Linked DNA regions of Mus musculus: all the other regions are reported to be linked to region 2. Evidence: microRNA targets listed by miRTarBase, many of them from high-throughput screens and not tested one by one. Region 2 holds a microRNA gene; each other region holds the end of a gene's coding sequence.

Evidence for each region. Region 2 holds the annotated microRNA mmu-miR-466h-5p (UGUGUGCAUGUGCUUGUGUGUA, at 1,943-1,964, shown strand). A microRNA usually pairs through its seed, bases 2 to 8, with sites in the 3' UTR of a target mRNA and lowers its output. Matches are read on the target gene's strand: a 7mer-m8 pairs with bases 2 to 8, a 7mer-A1 pairs with bases 2 to 7 and ends in A, and an 8mer does both.
Region 1: miRTarBase lists Epas1 as a target of mmu-miR-466h-5p. Seed matches in the 3' UTR shown: 8mer at 1,434-1,441, 8mer at 1,564-1,571, 8mer at 1,626-1,633 and 7mer-A1 at 2,926-2,932.
Region 3: the mRNA of Nsun3 is a reported target of mmu-miR-466h-5p. Seed matches in the 3' UTR shown: 7mer-A1 at 4,072-4,078.

What each region holds. Positions count from the first base shown.
Region 1 is chr17:86,830,195-86,835,262 of GRCm38, forward strand. It overlaps Epas1 (endothelial PAS domain protein 1), which reads left to right. Exons shown (of 16, transcript NM_010137.3): 16 at 757-3,216. The coding sequence ends at 908. Among named protein-coding and RNA genes, the nearest start is that of Epas1, 79 kb to the left of the region's middle.
Region 2 is chr2:10,512,959-10,518,034 of GRCm38, forward strand. Mir466h (microRNA 466h) reads left to right here and starts at 1,933; the gene lies at 1,933-2,013. All of the region lies in intron 10 of Sfmbt2 (Scm-like with four mbt domains 2), which reads left to right. It overlaps Mir669m-2 (microRNA 669m-2), which reads left to right and starts at 476; the gene lies at 476-573. It overlaps Mir466n (microRNA 466n), which reads left to right and starts at 783; the gene lies at 783-876. It also overlaps Mir669o, Mir466g, Mir297a-3, Mir466l, Mir297a-4 and Mir669i.
Region 3 is chr16:62,730,884-62,735,951 of GRCm38, forward strand. Nsun3 (NOL1/NOP2/Sun domain family member 3) reads right to left here. Exons shown (of 6, transcript NM_178925.3): 6 at 3,969-4,535. The coding sequence ends at 4,232. Among named protein-coding and RNA genes, the nearest start is that of Gm52231, 22 kb to the right of the region's middle.

The DNA of each region.
Region 1 (5,068 bases), not on the chromosome of region 2:
AGGGTAGCCTGGTGATCCAGTAAGTTCAGCTATTGCCACTGAAACACACAAGTGTTCCCATAGACGCCTTTGCTCGGCACAAACAATCTGTGGTTTGAGAAAGAAAATTCCAGAGCCTTGTCTACAGTAGCAGAGTTGGGGAAAATTTATAGTTGTGTTCTTAGAATTCCATCTGAAGAACCCAAAAGCCCTGGGCTGATATTTCAGTTCTGTTGTTTACCAGCAGGTGGGCTTGCAAGCCAGAAGTCTTAAAAGAGAAAGTTTAAAGTTTAAAGAGAGGACCACACATCACTCACCCCCGGTATACACATCTGGGCAGCTGTAGTCAGCAAATGACAGGTTTCCCCAGCTGTTGAATGCGAAGCAAAACTAATTTCAACATAGATCGTTTCTGCCCATAGACCGAAAGGAGGTGAATTTAAGAAGGGCAGGGCATCTGTTGGTAGGAGTGCAGGCAACGGGAAGTGTGGACCCCAGAAGGGAGAGCACACTGGGACCCAGCTCTGTCTCTAAACTGAGAGAGCTCTGCTCTCGCTCCAGCCATCTTTGGATCTCACCACTGCTGTGGCATGTCCTCTTCTGGCTCCGTCCTCTGAACAGGGGATGGAGCCCCAGGGCCAGAGTGCTGCTGCATCGGAAGTTGCTGGAAGCTGGAGACACAGTTGTTTGCATGCATGCCCTTTCCTCTGGTCATCTACAGCCAGCGGAGCAGGTGTGTGCCAGTCCTCTAAAACACCCTCCTCTCCCTCCTCTCAGGCGTGGCCAGTCGACTGCTGGGGCCATCGTTCGAGCCTTACCTGTTGCCGGAACTGACCAGATATGACTGTGAGGTGAACGTGCCCGTGCCTGGAAGCTCCACACTCCTGCAGGGGAGAGACCTTCTCAGAGCTCTGGACCAGGCCACCTGAGCCAGGGCCTCTGGCCGGGCATGCCCCTGCCTGCCCCGCCGTCTTGACCTGCCAGCTTCACTTCCATCTGTGTTGCTATTAGGTATCTCTAACACCAGCACACTTCTTACGAGATGTACTCAACCTGGCCTACTGGCCAGGTCACCAAGCAGTGGCCTTTATCTGACATGCTCACTTTATTATCCATGTTTTAAAAATACATAGTTGTTGTACCTGCTATGTTTTACCGTTGATGAAAGTGTTCTGAAATTTTATAAGATTTCCCCCTCCCTCCCTCCCTTGAATTACTTCTAATTTATATTCCCCAAAGGTTTTTCTCTCTCTCATTCATATCCATACTAACAAGCATGGTGGCTGGTGCCTCTCCCTAGGAAAGCTTTGGCGTCATTCAACTCAAGTGTTCTTGTTCTTGTTGCCAAAGAGAAAAGGATTTTCCTCCACTGTGGATTCTCCCTCTCCCCCACCCCCACATACACACACACACACACACACCCCTACACACATATACACACATGCACGTATGCGTGCACACACACACACACACACACACACACACACACACACCCCTACACACACACACACACACACACATATACACACACACACACACACACACACACACCCCTACACACATATACACACATGCACGTATGCGTGCACACACACACACACACACACACACACCCCTACACACATATACACACATGCACGTATGCGTGCACACACACACACACACACACACATCTAATCACCATATTGTAAAATTTTGTGTTTTTAAAGCCAACTCTTTGCTCCGGTTTTTTCATACGACTTAGTATGGGGCAAAAAAGCAATGTGAAGAATCAACTCTAGGGTTACCTGTGAAGCCACGCGGTGGTGTTCGAAGCTGTCTGGTAATGCCCCCATCTCTCCCCGGGTCCAGTGGATTTTTTTAACTATTATTCAAAAGCAAAACTGAGTTTTGTTTTGTTTGGTTTTTTAAGAAGAATTTATATCCGGGTTTAGTGTTTATCATATATATGGGTACTCTGTAATATCTAAAAGCTTAGAAATGGGATCTTGCTCACAAGAATCACTTTTAAGATCTTTTAGGGCTGTTAATTTTATTTTTCTCAGTGTTCTGGACACTGTAGACCTGTGCAGTACTCCCACAGGCCTGACTAACCGCCACAGATCTCTCTTTCTTTCTCTCTGGTGACTTTTTGCTTTTGTGATATGGCAGCGGTGTGACAGTCCCAGGAGAGAAGTCATTAAGGGGGAACATTGCAAGCTATCTTTTCGTGTTCTCAGTGTATTATGTACGTGTGTGCTGTTGCCGCTATGAGGGCTCGGGGCTTGCAGGCTCTGAGGGCATGTCGCAGGCGAGCTGGAAGGAAGCGCTCTCACTTTTTTTCAGGCAATGTTGCTAGCCCTTCTAGCACACTGAGCTACGAGACTGCCAATCTCTCTCCTGCGGCACGTTTGGGTTGGCACAGCTACCATGAAATGTTTTTAATGGGAATTCATAAAGCAAGTTAGGATTCACAAATGTAGTGACCTAGTCCTTGGAGCTAAACTGGGAGTGGGTGCCAGGTGGAGGGTAGCAGGTCTGACCAGCCCTACACCCTGCCACAGATCACAGCTTGCCGGGCAAATGACCCTGCGAAGCCACGGTGCAGCGCCCCCTGCTGGCGAGCAGCGGGCAGACCTCCAAGGACAGCCTCTAGCTGAGGTCTCAGTCACATGAAGTGTGACACTGAACAGGTAGAAAGCACTGAAAATCGTGTTCCAAGAGCACTTTGTAACTCACTGAGGGGGAGGGGAAGCACCTTTTGGGTTTGCGATACCAATCAACATAAGGTGTTGTTGACTCGGGTACAATAAAACTCTCAACACACACAAAGCCCATCAGGCAAGAGTACAGTAAGCCTAAGGGGACTTGCTGCTCAAACCAAAAATTAACTCTGAAGGTCAGTCTACCTGACATTACCTAGGCATGGTGTTGTCCAAGCTGCGCATCGGTGCACAGTGTGGCCTGGCACACACGCAGGCGGGCGACGGAACTTGAAGGGTTATTGACATGCAAATGCTGGTGTTTGATTTCCTGTGTTGTTGCCTCAGCGTTAAGGGCATTTCCGTTTGCAGTTCTACTAAAGACACTCTGAGAAATATTCCGAGTTTCGTATTAACCTTTCCTGTCCATGTAACAACTTCATGACCATTACTGCATTGTCAAATTCCTACTGACGACATTATAACTGTACGGGAGCTTAACTTTATAAGGAAATGTATTTTGACACTGATATCTTATTAAAGTATTCTGATCCTATCCTGCTCGTGCCTCTTGTTTTCTGTGCATTTACCGTGGACTGTGCCGTTGGAAAAATAGGGTTCTTACTCAAGAGCACACAGAAATGGACTTTGGAGCTAAACTAGACCAGCCTGAGACCACCCCACAGGAAGTCCAATGAAGGAAGGCGTTTGTGCCTGACAGTTGCCTGAGCCCAGGAGCTGGTCGCTATCTTCTGCATTTCTGTAGCTACTATGTGTCTAGCCAAGGCCCTTTCCTTGCATGCTGGGAAAGAAGGGAAGAAACCATGGGCTCTCACTTCAGAGACCCACACGAGGCACTGAGGTCCAAGGAGAAGGGCACCCTGGGCCAAGGGCATCACTGTAGAGTCAAGGCCTTCCTAGGTAGTATAGTAGGTAGGAAAGAAAAAGTCTTCAGGCAGAGACCGAGCACAGCAGAAGCTTACTGCTAGGCATGGACCTGATGGGTCCCTATTCCAGATGTGGCTTCTGTGAAAGCCACTCTTCTGGTGATCAAGGGGGAGGGATAAGGCCAGCAGCATCTCTTACAGTCAGCCCTACATATAATCAGCTGTCCCAGTATCCCTTGTGCTCCTGATGTCTTGGGTTCACAATGATCTCCTTAGCTCCATCGGCCTAAGCAATGCCATGCGTATAATTTCGTAGATGAGACTAGGACCCACAGTGACTTACTTCCACATGTCACACAGTCACAAGGCTCAAGACCCAGAGCTGGCTGTGAGCTATGGCTTATGCTAGGGCCTGTTTACATTTTCAAATAGAAAACTCCTGTCTGAGCACGGAGCCGCCGGCTCGGCGAGTAAGAGCACTTGCCCTGGTACAAGACCAGGGTTTCATTTCTAACGCCCACATGACGGCTCACAACTATCTATAACCCAGTCCCAGCAGCTCTGATGTCTACTTTTGGTGCCTTCATGGGCACCAGGTAGGCACATTGTACACATATATGCACGTGAGCAAAACATACCACATAAAATAACAAATCTAAAAAGAACACTCCAGTCAGTCTTAGTTTAACTCTAGGCATTGTGGGGATTTTGCTTCTATTCTTTTCCTCCTGACTTGATCTCTGGATCTTGAGTTGGAGTTTCTGGGCCCGGCCAAACTCCCCCTCACCTTCATCCACCATCTTGGGCTCTCCTCTTCCTCGGCTCCCCTGGGAATGGCAGACTTCTCCTGGAGGAGCACTCTCCTTGTCCCCAGTGACTTCAGAGGGGCCTATAATGCTGTTCTTTGGCTTTAACCCCATACCTAAAGCTCTGGTTGACCCTCCAGGCCCTGGTGGAGTGGGCACAGTATTCAATGCCTCTGACTTCAAAGTTCAGCAAGCAAGCAAAGGGGAAAAATAAGATGCCACTGTTCCTGATGGGTTGGTAGGAATTTGCTCTTCTTTGGGGTATGTGAGCCTAAGACGCAGTGCCCACGTCAGCCACTGCTGCTTCACATATTGTATCAAGGTGTTCAGGAAAGACTGGCTTGTCTCCTCCCGATTTTACGTTGTGGTTTAGGAGCAGGTATGTTCCGGCATGTGGCGCACACAGCAGCAGGATCAGGTCCCTGCGTGAAAGTGAGAGCCGTTGAGCCTCTTGAGCTCCTCCTGGCTGTAGGAGTCTCCTCTCAGTGGGGCTATCTCAGCCTCAGTGTTAACACAGTAGCCTCCAAATCAGAACACTTTCTGGGAGGGGAACTCAGACCCCAAGGTTGGAGCACCAGGGGCTCCTCCTCACCCCATGGAGCTTGGCCAACCCCATCCCCTCAAAGCAGGACAGATTGGTCAAATGCTGAGCTGTGGTTTACCTGAAGATATGATGCAGACCCGTATCCTCTATGACATCTAAGCTTCAACCACC
Region 2 (5,076 bases):
GACAGTGAATGGTCTCAGTCACCAGCTGTAAATGATTGACAAAGTCTGGAGAATCAGGATTTCAAATTCATGATTAACTTCAGTTAGAGATTATCCTGGTATTCCTGTGATGCCACCCATGTATGTGCATGTGTGTTTACATGTGTGTGCGTGTACATCTGTGTAAATGAATATATATATATATATATATATATACATATATATATATATATATATATATATATATATATATATATAACATAAACATACATGTATATGGACACACGTATGCACACATACACACAAGGAATGGAATTCATTGATATGTTTGAATGATATGTGATTTTGAGCTTTAAAGGTTATGTAGTACTGGTCAAATGAAAGTTTTTCTCACTATGTAAAAGCTTGCCATATTCAGAGGGGTCAGGAATTCATATTCATAAATAAATTCAAAAGAGAGTAGAGATCAGCCTGATTTTATGGGGTTCCCCACAATATATTTGCATGTGTGTATAGTTTTGTGTGCATGTGCATGTGTGTATATGAATATACATATACATCCACACAAACATATACAAGCATGCACAGATATACACACACACAGAAATGGCACCCATAGATCATTTTGAGTGACATGTGACATGTGACATGTGAGTTTTAGAGAGTATGCCGTGCTGGGCCAATGAATGCTCTCACTCACAAGGTAAAGACCCTTGCCAGATTCAGGATGATCAAGAGTGTAAATTCATGTTGGTTGCATGATGAGTTGGAGATCAGCCTGGCATTCATGTGATGGCTCCTGTGTATGTGCATGTGTGTTTGTGTGTGCGTACATGTACATGTGTGTATATGAATATGCATATACATGAGAGCATACATAGACACACGTGCATGTGCGCTTGCATGCGCGTGCGTGCACACACACACACACACACACAGAGGATATGTGATTTACAGTCTTATAGATTATGTAGTAGTGGGTAATGAATGGTCGCACTCATCATGTGTAAACAATTTGCAGATTCAAGAAGATCAGGAGTTCAAATTCATGCTTAACTTCAGCTGGACATCATCCTGGTATTCATGTGATGCCACCCGTGTATGTGCATGTGTGTTTACAGGTGTGTGCATGTGAATGTATATATATGAGTATACATGTACAGACACATGCAGCACACACACACACACGAATGCCACTCATTGATCCATTTGAATGATATGTCACTTAGCATATTAGAGATTATGCAGTACTTGGCCAGTGAGTGCTCTCATTCTCTAGGTGAAAATCCTTGCTAGAGTTAAGAGTATCCCGAGTTCAAATTCATACTTATCCTCATGAGAGATCAGCCTGTGATTCCTCCATGCATGTGCATGTGTGTATAGTTGTGTGTGCATGTTTATGTGTGTATTTGAATATACATAACATACACACACACGTATAAACACAAGCACACACACACAGACACAAGAATGACACTCATCAATCCATTTGAATGATAACTGACTTAAGAGTTTTAGAGATTATGCAATAGGGGACAGTGAATGGTTTCACTCACCAGGTGTAAATGATTGACAGAGTCAGGTTAATCAGGATTTCAAATTCATGCTTAACTTCAGTTATAGATCATTCATGTGATGCCACCCATTTATGTCGATGTGTGTTTTCGTGTGTGTGCATGTGGATGTATGTATATGATTTTGCATATACAGACACATGCACACACATGCGGCACACACACACACACACAAATGACACTCATCGATCCATTTGAATGATATGTCACTTAGAGTTTTAGAGATTATGCAGTTCTGGGACAGTGCGTGATCTCACTCTCCAGGTCAAAATGTATGCTGGAATCAGGAGTTTTAGGAGTTCAAATTCATGCTTAACTTCATGATGATTTTAAGATCAGCCTGTGATTCATGTGATTCTCAGCCATGTATGTCCATGTGTGTATATTTGTGTGTGCATGTGCTTGTGTGTATGTGAATATATATATCATACGCACGCACACACACACACAAATGCAAGCACATACACTCTCACACACAGAGGAATTGAATTCATCCATTAATTTGAATGCTATGTGACTTATTCTTTTAGAGATTATGCAGTAGTGGGACAGTGAACGGTCTCACTCGCCATGTGCAAACATATTACAGATTGAGCAGGGTCGGGAGTTCAAATTCATGCTTAACTTCAGCTGGACATCATCCTGGTATTCATGTGATGCCACCCGTGTATGTGCATGTGTGTTTACGTCCCTGTGTATGCACATGTGTGTATATAAATATACATACCATAAACATACATGTAAATGCAAGCACACAAACATGGAATGGCATTCATTGATACATTTGAATGATGTGTGACATAGAGCTTTAAAGATTATGTAGTATTGGGCTAATGAAACTTTTTACTCACAATGTGAAAAAGCTTCCCATATTCAGAAGGATTAGGAGTTCAAATTTATGAATAACTTCAAAATGGCTTAGAGATCAGCCTGGCTTTATGGGTTCCTTCCCAGTGTATGTTCATGTTGCATAGTTTTGTGTGCTAATGTATGTGTGCATATGAATATACATATAAATACACACAAACACATACACACAGGCACACACACACACACACACACACACACACACACATACACACACACACACACACACACACACACATACCCCGAATGGCACTCATTGATACTTTTAAATGACATGTGACTTAAAGTTTTAGAGATTATGCAGGGCTGGATCAGTGGGTGCTCTCACTCACAAGGTGAAAATGCTTGCCAGAGTCAGGAGGATCAGGAGTGGAAATTCATTCTCAAATTCATGAGTCCAGGATCAGCTTCGGATTCTAGTGATGCCCCCAGTGTATGTGCCTGTGTGTATATGTATGTGTGCATGTGCATGTGTGTATATGAATATACATATACATACACACATACCCATACAAACATGCACACAAACACACAGAAAATTGACACTCATCGATCCATTTCAATGATATGTGAGTCTTAGAGATTCTGTATGACTGGGCCACAGAGAGGTCTCACTCACCAGGTGACGCCCCTTGCCAGAGCCAGGATGATCAGGAGTGCAAATTCATGTTCACTGCATGATGAGGTAGAGATCAACCTGGCATTCATGTGATGACCCCTATGTATGTGCATGTGTGTTTGTGTGTACATGTACATGTATATATATATTGATATACATATAAATACATGCACACATATTCATGCATGCACACGCACACATTAATGGCACTCTTAGATCCATTTGAATAACATGTGACTTAGAGGTGAGAGATTATGCAGTACGGGGACAGTGAGTGTTCTCACTCATCAGGTGTAGACAACTGCCAGAGTCAGGTCTATCAGGAGCTTAAATGCATGCTTACACTCATGAGGACTTAGAGATCAGCCTGTGATTTATGTGATTCCCCCCATGCATGTGAACGTGTGTATAGTTGTGTGTGCATGTGTGTATATGAATATATATAACATCCACACATGTATAAATGCAAGCACAGAAACACACAAACATAGGAATGGTACTCATCGATCCATTTGAATGATATATGACTTAGAGTTTTAGAGATTATGCAGTAGAGGGACAGTGAATGGTCTCAATCACCAGGTGTAAATGATTGACAAAGTCAGGAGGATCAGGAGTTCAAACTCCATTTAGAGATCATCCTGGTATTCATTTGATGCCACCCATGTATGTGCACGTGTGCTTACATGTGTGTGCATGTTCATGAATGTATATGGATATGCATGTGCAGACACACACACACATGCAACACACACACAAACACATGGTGACTTGCATTCATCTACTTGCATAATATGTGACTAAGAGTTTTAAAGATTATGCAGTACTGTGCCCGTGCATGCTCTTACTCAACAGGTCAAAGTGCTTGCCAGAGTCAGGCCTTAAAGGTATGTGACTTAGAGTTTGAGAGATTATGCAGGGCTGGATCAGTGGGTGCTCTCACTCACAAGGTGAAAATGCTTGCCAGAGTCAGGAGGATCAGGAGTGGAAATTCATTCTCAAATTCATGATTAGGTAGGGATCAGCTTCAGATTCATGTGATGGCGCCCCCCCCCCCCAGTGTATGTGCCTGTGTGTATATGTATGTGTGCATGTGCATGTGTGTATATGAGTATACATATACATACACACATACCCATACAAGCATGCACACAAATACACGCAAAATCGCCACTCATGGATCCATTTGAATGATATGTGACTTAGTCTTAGAGGTTCTGTATGACTGGGCCAGTGCGTGATCTCACTCACCGGGTGAATAATCCTTCCAGAGTCAGGAGGATCAGGAATTCGAATTCATGCTTAACTTCATAATGAGTTAGAGATCAGATGCGATTCGTGTGATGCCCACCAAAAATGTGCATGGGTGTATAGTTGTGTGCATATTCATTTCTCTATATGAATATGCATATACACGCAAGCACACACAGGAATGGCACTCATATATCCTTTTGAATGGTATGTGACTTAGAGCTTTAGAGTTTATCCAGTAACGGACCAGAGCTATGTCTCAGTTAGGAGGTGAGTATTCTTGCCAGAGTCAGGAGGATCAGGAGGTCTAATTTATGTTTAACTTCCTGATGAGTTAGAGATCATCCTGGCATTCATGTGATGCCCACCAATAATGTGCATGTGTGTATAGTTGTGTGCATATTCATTTCTCTATATGACTATGCATATACACACATGCATACAAACTCACATACAGGAATGACAGTCATATATCCTTTTGAATGATATGTGACTCAGAGCTTTAGAGCTTATGCAGTACTGGGCCAGAGCTATGCCTCAGTTAGGAGGTGGATACTCTTTCCAGAGTCAGGAGGATACGGAGTTCAAATTCATGTTTAACTTCATGATGAGTTAGAGATCAGCCTGGAATTCATTTGATTGTCCTTGTGTATGTGTATATATGTGTAGGTAAGTGTGCTTGTACATGCATGTATATGAACATACACACACACATACATATACACATAAGAATGGCAGTCATAGATCTGTTTGATTTATATGTGCTTAGAGTTTTATAGAGTGTAT
Region 3 (5,068 bases), not on the chromosome of region 2:
TGTCATGTTTGTAGAAAGTATTGTGTCAAGATAATATTTCTGATTCTCTCCCACTGACTTTGCATCCTGATACCACTGAATTCCTGACATTCCAGTTAATTTCTTCAGGATAGATGGTGTTAGGGCTCTCACCACTTGTAGACTAGCAGCAAGCAGCATGTAGTATTTAACTTCCATCTGAGCTTCCATCTGAGGGTTCTGTAGGTGCCCCTGGGATCGGGTGAGATTGGAAGTATCACTGTCAGCCTGGAGAGGAACATTAGAAATGGGCCTTATCCTTGCTTCCAACCCCAGTGCAGTAATAAGCCAGGGAAGGGAGATTGTAAACCATTGATTTGAACCAAATAAAGGAGTTGAAAATAAATTGTGCTATCTGCTCTATTTGTCCCTAAAGTCAAATTTACCTAACACATAACACAAGTAGCCCCATTCAATTGCATCAAAGGACTTCTTGGCATGTAATACGATTGTCACCATGCATTCGGATTTTCTCTTGTATTTTAGATGAGCTACATTAGCCTATGCAGATGACCCAGTGCTTCTCACCAGGTATACAGGCTTCTTGAAGAAAGGTCTATTAGGCCTTGATTATTTATTCATGTACCATGTATTCAGGTAGTCAGTTTTTATACCTACCTACATTATATGAAAGCGTATTTTTTTTTACAGTACCACTAGGGGAATAATATGTAATTTAAGTATAAGGCTAAATGGATATATGTAATGGGATAAAGAATAGTAGGCTACCTTGACTCCAAACCACAAATAGCGTCTTATGCTTTAAAAACTCAGTACAAACCATTTAAATGCATTACATTTATTCTTAGTCTATTTGTGAAACTAGTGGCTGTTCAGTGTGCTGATGGCAGGAGCAGTTAATGTGTTGGTAGGTGACCTAAATTTGATGAAGCTGTTTTGAAAGTGACTTCATGCCACAGAAAGAAGCATTTATTACTTCTTGGTTTTTGGTTGACATTGCAAGGCTGCCCAAATATCCATTCTTCAGCTCACCATGCATAACAAAGAGGGAGGCACAAAATGCCTCCATGGGAGAATCCTTAGTATAACAATCACAAGGCATACTTCCTCCGAATAGGACTGATATATTTCAAAGCCTTTTCTTTCCCAAGTACTGATCAAGCTCTGATGATCTGTACTTGGTGCTCTGGGAATAGAGAATTGTGCATAAACAGAAAACCGAACAGTGGAGAATAGGCATAAAGGCAGCCACTAATCTTGAAGATCATACAATCCATACTGAGTGAGACAACACAGTGACAGTAGGAAGGGCTGGCAATGGAGCCAGCTCGCATCTGAGTTCTCTTCTTAACTTGGCAGTGTCCTTGACAAACAGATAACACTGGGCTTTGCTTCCCTCATTTACAGAGAGGAATACAAACTCATTACCAGTGGCTGTTCACTTGGTTGTTTGCTTGTTTTGAGACTATGTCTCCCTTTGTGGCCAGTCATTGGCAGGCCTCTCCCTCCCAAAGGCTGATTACTGACACCCATCACCACCATTCCTGGCCACAGTTATAAAGGTCAAAAAAAGGCATCATAAAGACTTCAATCAAGCATTTAATGCTCAATAAATGTTTGCTGTTTTGTTACAATCATCTTAATAATAAAGTCGATGAATATATGCATTAAGACATATATTTTCATCAATCCCAAGATAATCAAGTCCAATACCACACCTAGTGTTCATTTGAAGTATCATGACATTATACTGGAAAAATAATGACATTCAACACACACAACTGTGTGTGTACTGTGAAGATTTACATTGTGGTTAACTTATACAAAAGCACTTTTAAAACTACAGAATCCAAAGACAGGAATTCAAGCAGAAATACAAACACTACTTCCAACTAAAACAAAACAAAACAAAAAAAAAAACCTTTTCTATCATTAATCTTCTGTATTAACTGAATACATTAGATAGGCCCAAGAGATAAACATTTACTATAAACACACTGGTCAGATATAGTTTAAGATATTGTCAAGAACAAAGGTAGATGATTTTTCCTAGACTGTCATTCATTTGACTCCAGTTACACAGATGTGCAAAACAAAAAGTATGTACTGGATAGCTTAATGCATAGAACAGAACACTCTCCACTCTGGATCCATGGAATTTTGTGCTTCCACAGGTGATTTTTTTAAGCTACTTTTGGGCTTGAGAGATAGCTCAGCAGTTAACAGCACTTGTTGCTTATACAGAAGACGAGCTTTTGATTCCAAGCACCTATATGGTGGTTCAAAACCATCTATATATCTCAGTTCTGGAGGACCTGATGTCCAGTTCTGACTTCCCCATGCAACAGGTATGCACATGGTACGCAGACATACATGTTGCCAAGATATTTATACATATAAAATAAGATAAAAATAAATAAATCTTAATGAAAATAAAAAGCTAATTTCCAATTTCAAGTATGCTTTGTGATTTTTCTCTCCTGCTCTAGCCTTCCCCCTTCCCTCTCTCCTCCCTACATCATCCTTGAGGAGGGTCTTGCTAGGCAGCCAAGGCTGACTTGAATTTATAATTCTTCCACCTCAGCCCCCAAAATGCTGTGACTACAGGTGTGCAGTGCCATGTCTGCCACTGTGATTTTTCTTAATAGTTGGAAAAATGTTTGGATCCAACTGAAGCATTTCTAAAGAAAAATTTAAGATTGAAAATTGATTTTAAAAAAGCCTAAGTATAAATATAGAAGCACACACAAAATTCTTGGGATATGTGTAAATAGAGACCACTCTGAATGGTTTGGGGTCTTGGTAATAAAGAATTGACTCTTATTAGGTAGGCATCTTCTATATTAATATGTGACATCACACTCTCATATAACATTTTATAACCAAGTGAAATAAAAAGCCACTCCAGATTGCAACTGTAAGATAATCAGATTCTGTAGTACTCATTATGACTGCAATTATGTAACAAAACACTCCAAATATAGTTCAGTTATTGCCGTTATTAATCATTCTGGTTTTGTTTCAAGTGCTTGCTTTATAGCCTGCTGGATAGACTCCATTATTCTACAAGCTGAATGTCGAAAGTCAAATGCGTGCGTGTGAATCTGTTGCTCTAAAGGCCTTTGAACATAATTTACCCTTTCAGTTTGTATTTGTGAATAAATGCAAATGGGGAGAAATCAAGCTGGTGTCAACAGAGTCACTGCCCTCTGCAGTAAACAGAAGACAGTCCTTAACTTAACACAGAACAACTCCGCAAACAAGAAACCTATTTTGCTAGAACTAGAAATTGTGCTGCTTAAGAAGTTAGCCTCCGAATACCAATTATTCCTACTAAAAGATTCTGCAGATTTGATGAGGAAACAGTAAAAGTGTTGACAAATACACATTTTTAATGGAAAGATTTAAAACACTCATGTTATAGAATACGGTCCTAAACATTTTATGCACAGAACTCAGTATTCTAATTAATTTATCTATAAAGTCCCAATTAAAAGACAAAAAATTATTATACAGAACCAACACCATCTGTCCCACTTTAAATCATCACTATACATATATTTCCAGGAGCAAAATTGTACCTGAAAATTTCTTAATCCTATGCTCATTGAGGCTGAAATACTAACTAAACAGAAGCCAAGTGGTCCTAGGGAAAGTGGCTCTGTAAGTAGTTAAACACTAACTGTAGGGGCGGTTCTGATGCTGTCCTGTTCCTCAATTGGTTCTTGATCTGTCAGTAAAGAAGCCATAGCCAATTGTGGGGAGGAAGGAATAAGTGAAACTTCCAGGTCCCTGAAGGAAAAAAGACAGACACAAGGAAGGAGAGACAGAGTTTGCTGGTCTTCTGATGGAGAAAAGTTGTCCAGCCATGTGAGATCTCAAAATGGGGTGGCCACACAGGCTGCTCTTATAGACCGGTGGTCAGGGGAGTTTAGCAGCTAAAGTTTAGGGTGGGTGGGAGATGTGGACTAAGAATACTGATAAGAGCATGTTTTTCCAGGCGGGAGATAACAGCATGCAGCAATTGTGCCAAGAAGGTAAGTTGAAAAGGAATAGCCGTGTGATGTGTGTGTGTGTGTGTGTGTGTGTGTGTGTGTGCGCGCGCGCGCGCTCGACTTTTATCCGTGGATTCAAGGGAAGGTGGGTGGGAGCTGGTAGCTCAGTCCATTCCTGGAACTAAGGCAGAGAAGCAAAGAGCTACACCTAACAACTAACACGTGGTGAGCTCAGAAAATATGCATTCAATAACACATCAGCATGGCTTACAAAATTCGCCTTGCCTTTTTCTTGTACTCATCCCTTTTTTCAGTTTGGCTATATACATTGGGCCCCAAGCTTTGCCCTTTTCCGGAATCACCAAAAGGCTGCATTTCTGGTCAGTAGGGGCAAATGTGAAGTCTTGGGAGAAAGTCCTTGCTATCCCACTAATATCCACAGGTACGATGTTACTGTCGGAAGTTAAGACCTCGCTGATCACATCTTGATTTTCAGCCTTGGAAAGCGTGCATGTAGAGTACACGAGGAGCCCTCCGGGGCGCAAGGCTTTAATTGCAGACCTGTGTATAATGGAGAAAATAGAAGAGTTAGGCACAAGTCAAGTAGGCAATCCAAGTCAAGGAAACGACATACCAGCCTTACTCCGGCTAAGGATACAGTAACTAGTGGTTTTCTGACCCTAGTTATAGTTTGTTTGCATTTATCACTGCAAACAAACCAGATACATCAAGATGGAAAAGTCAGAGAAAGTGAGTTTAGCTGATGATTGGTTCCTTTAATGATAGGGAGCCAGGGAAAGAAAAGAGATACTGTGTTTTAAGTCATGGAAATATAATAGGAAAAAAAAACACTCTAATTGAAAACAGACAAAAAAAAAAAAATCATTGATCTTACTCTGTGTACTCCAGGTTGGCCTATCATGTAAAATCAGAGGTTATTCACCTAGGAAGAGGAATAAGTAATTTGTGGGGATATAAGGCAGCTGTGGTGGTCTATTCCTCAAACCCAAGACCTTTGCCCTCTACTTTAAAGGGATCCTCTAGAGCAGTGGATTCAAAGGTCCTAATACTGCACGCCTTTAAATCAGTTCCTC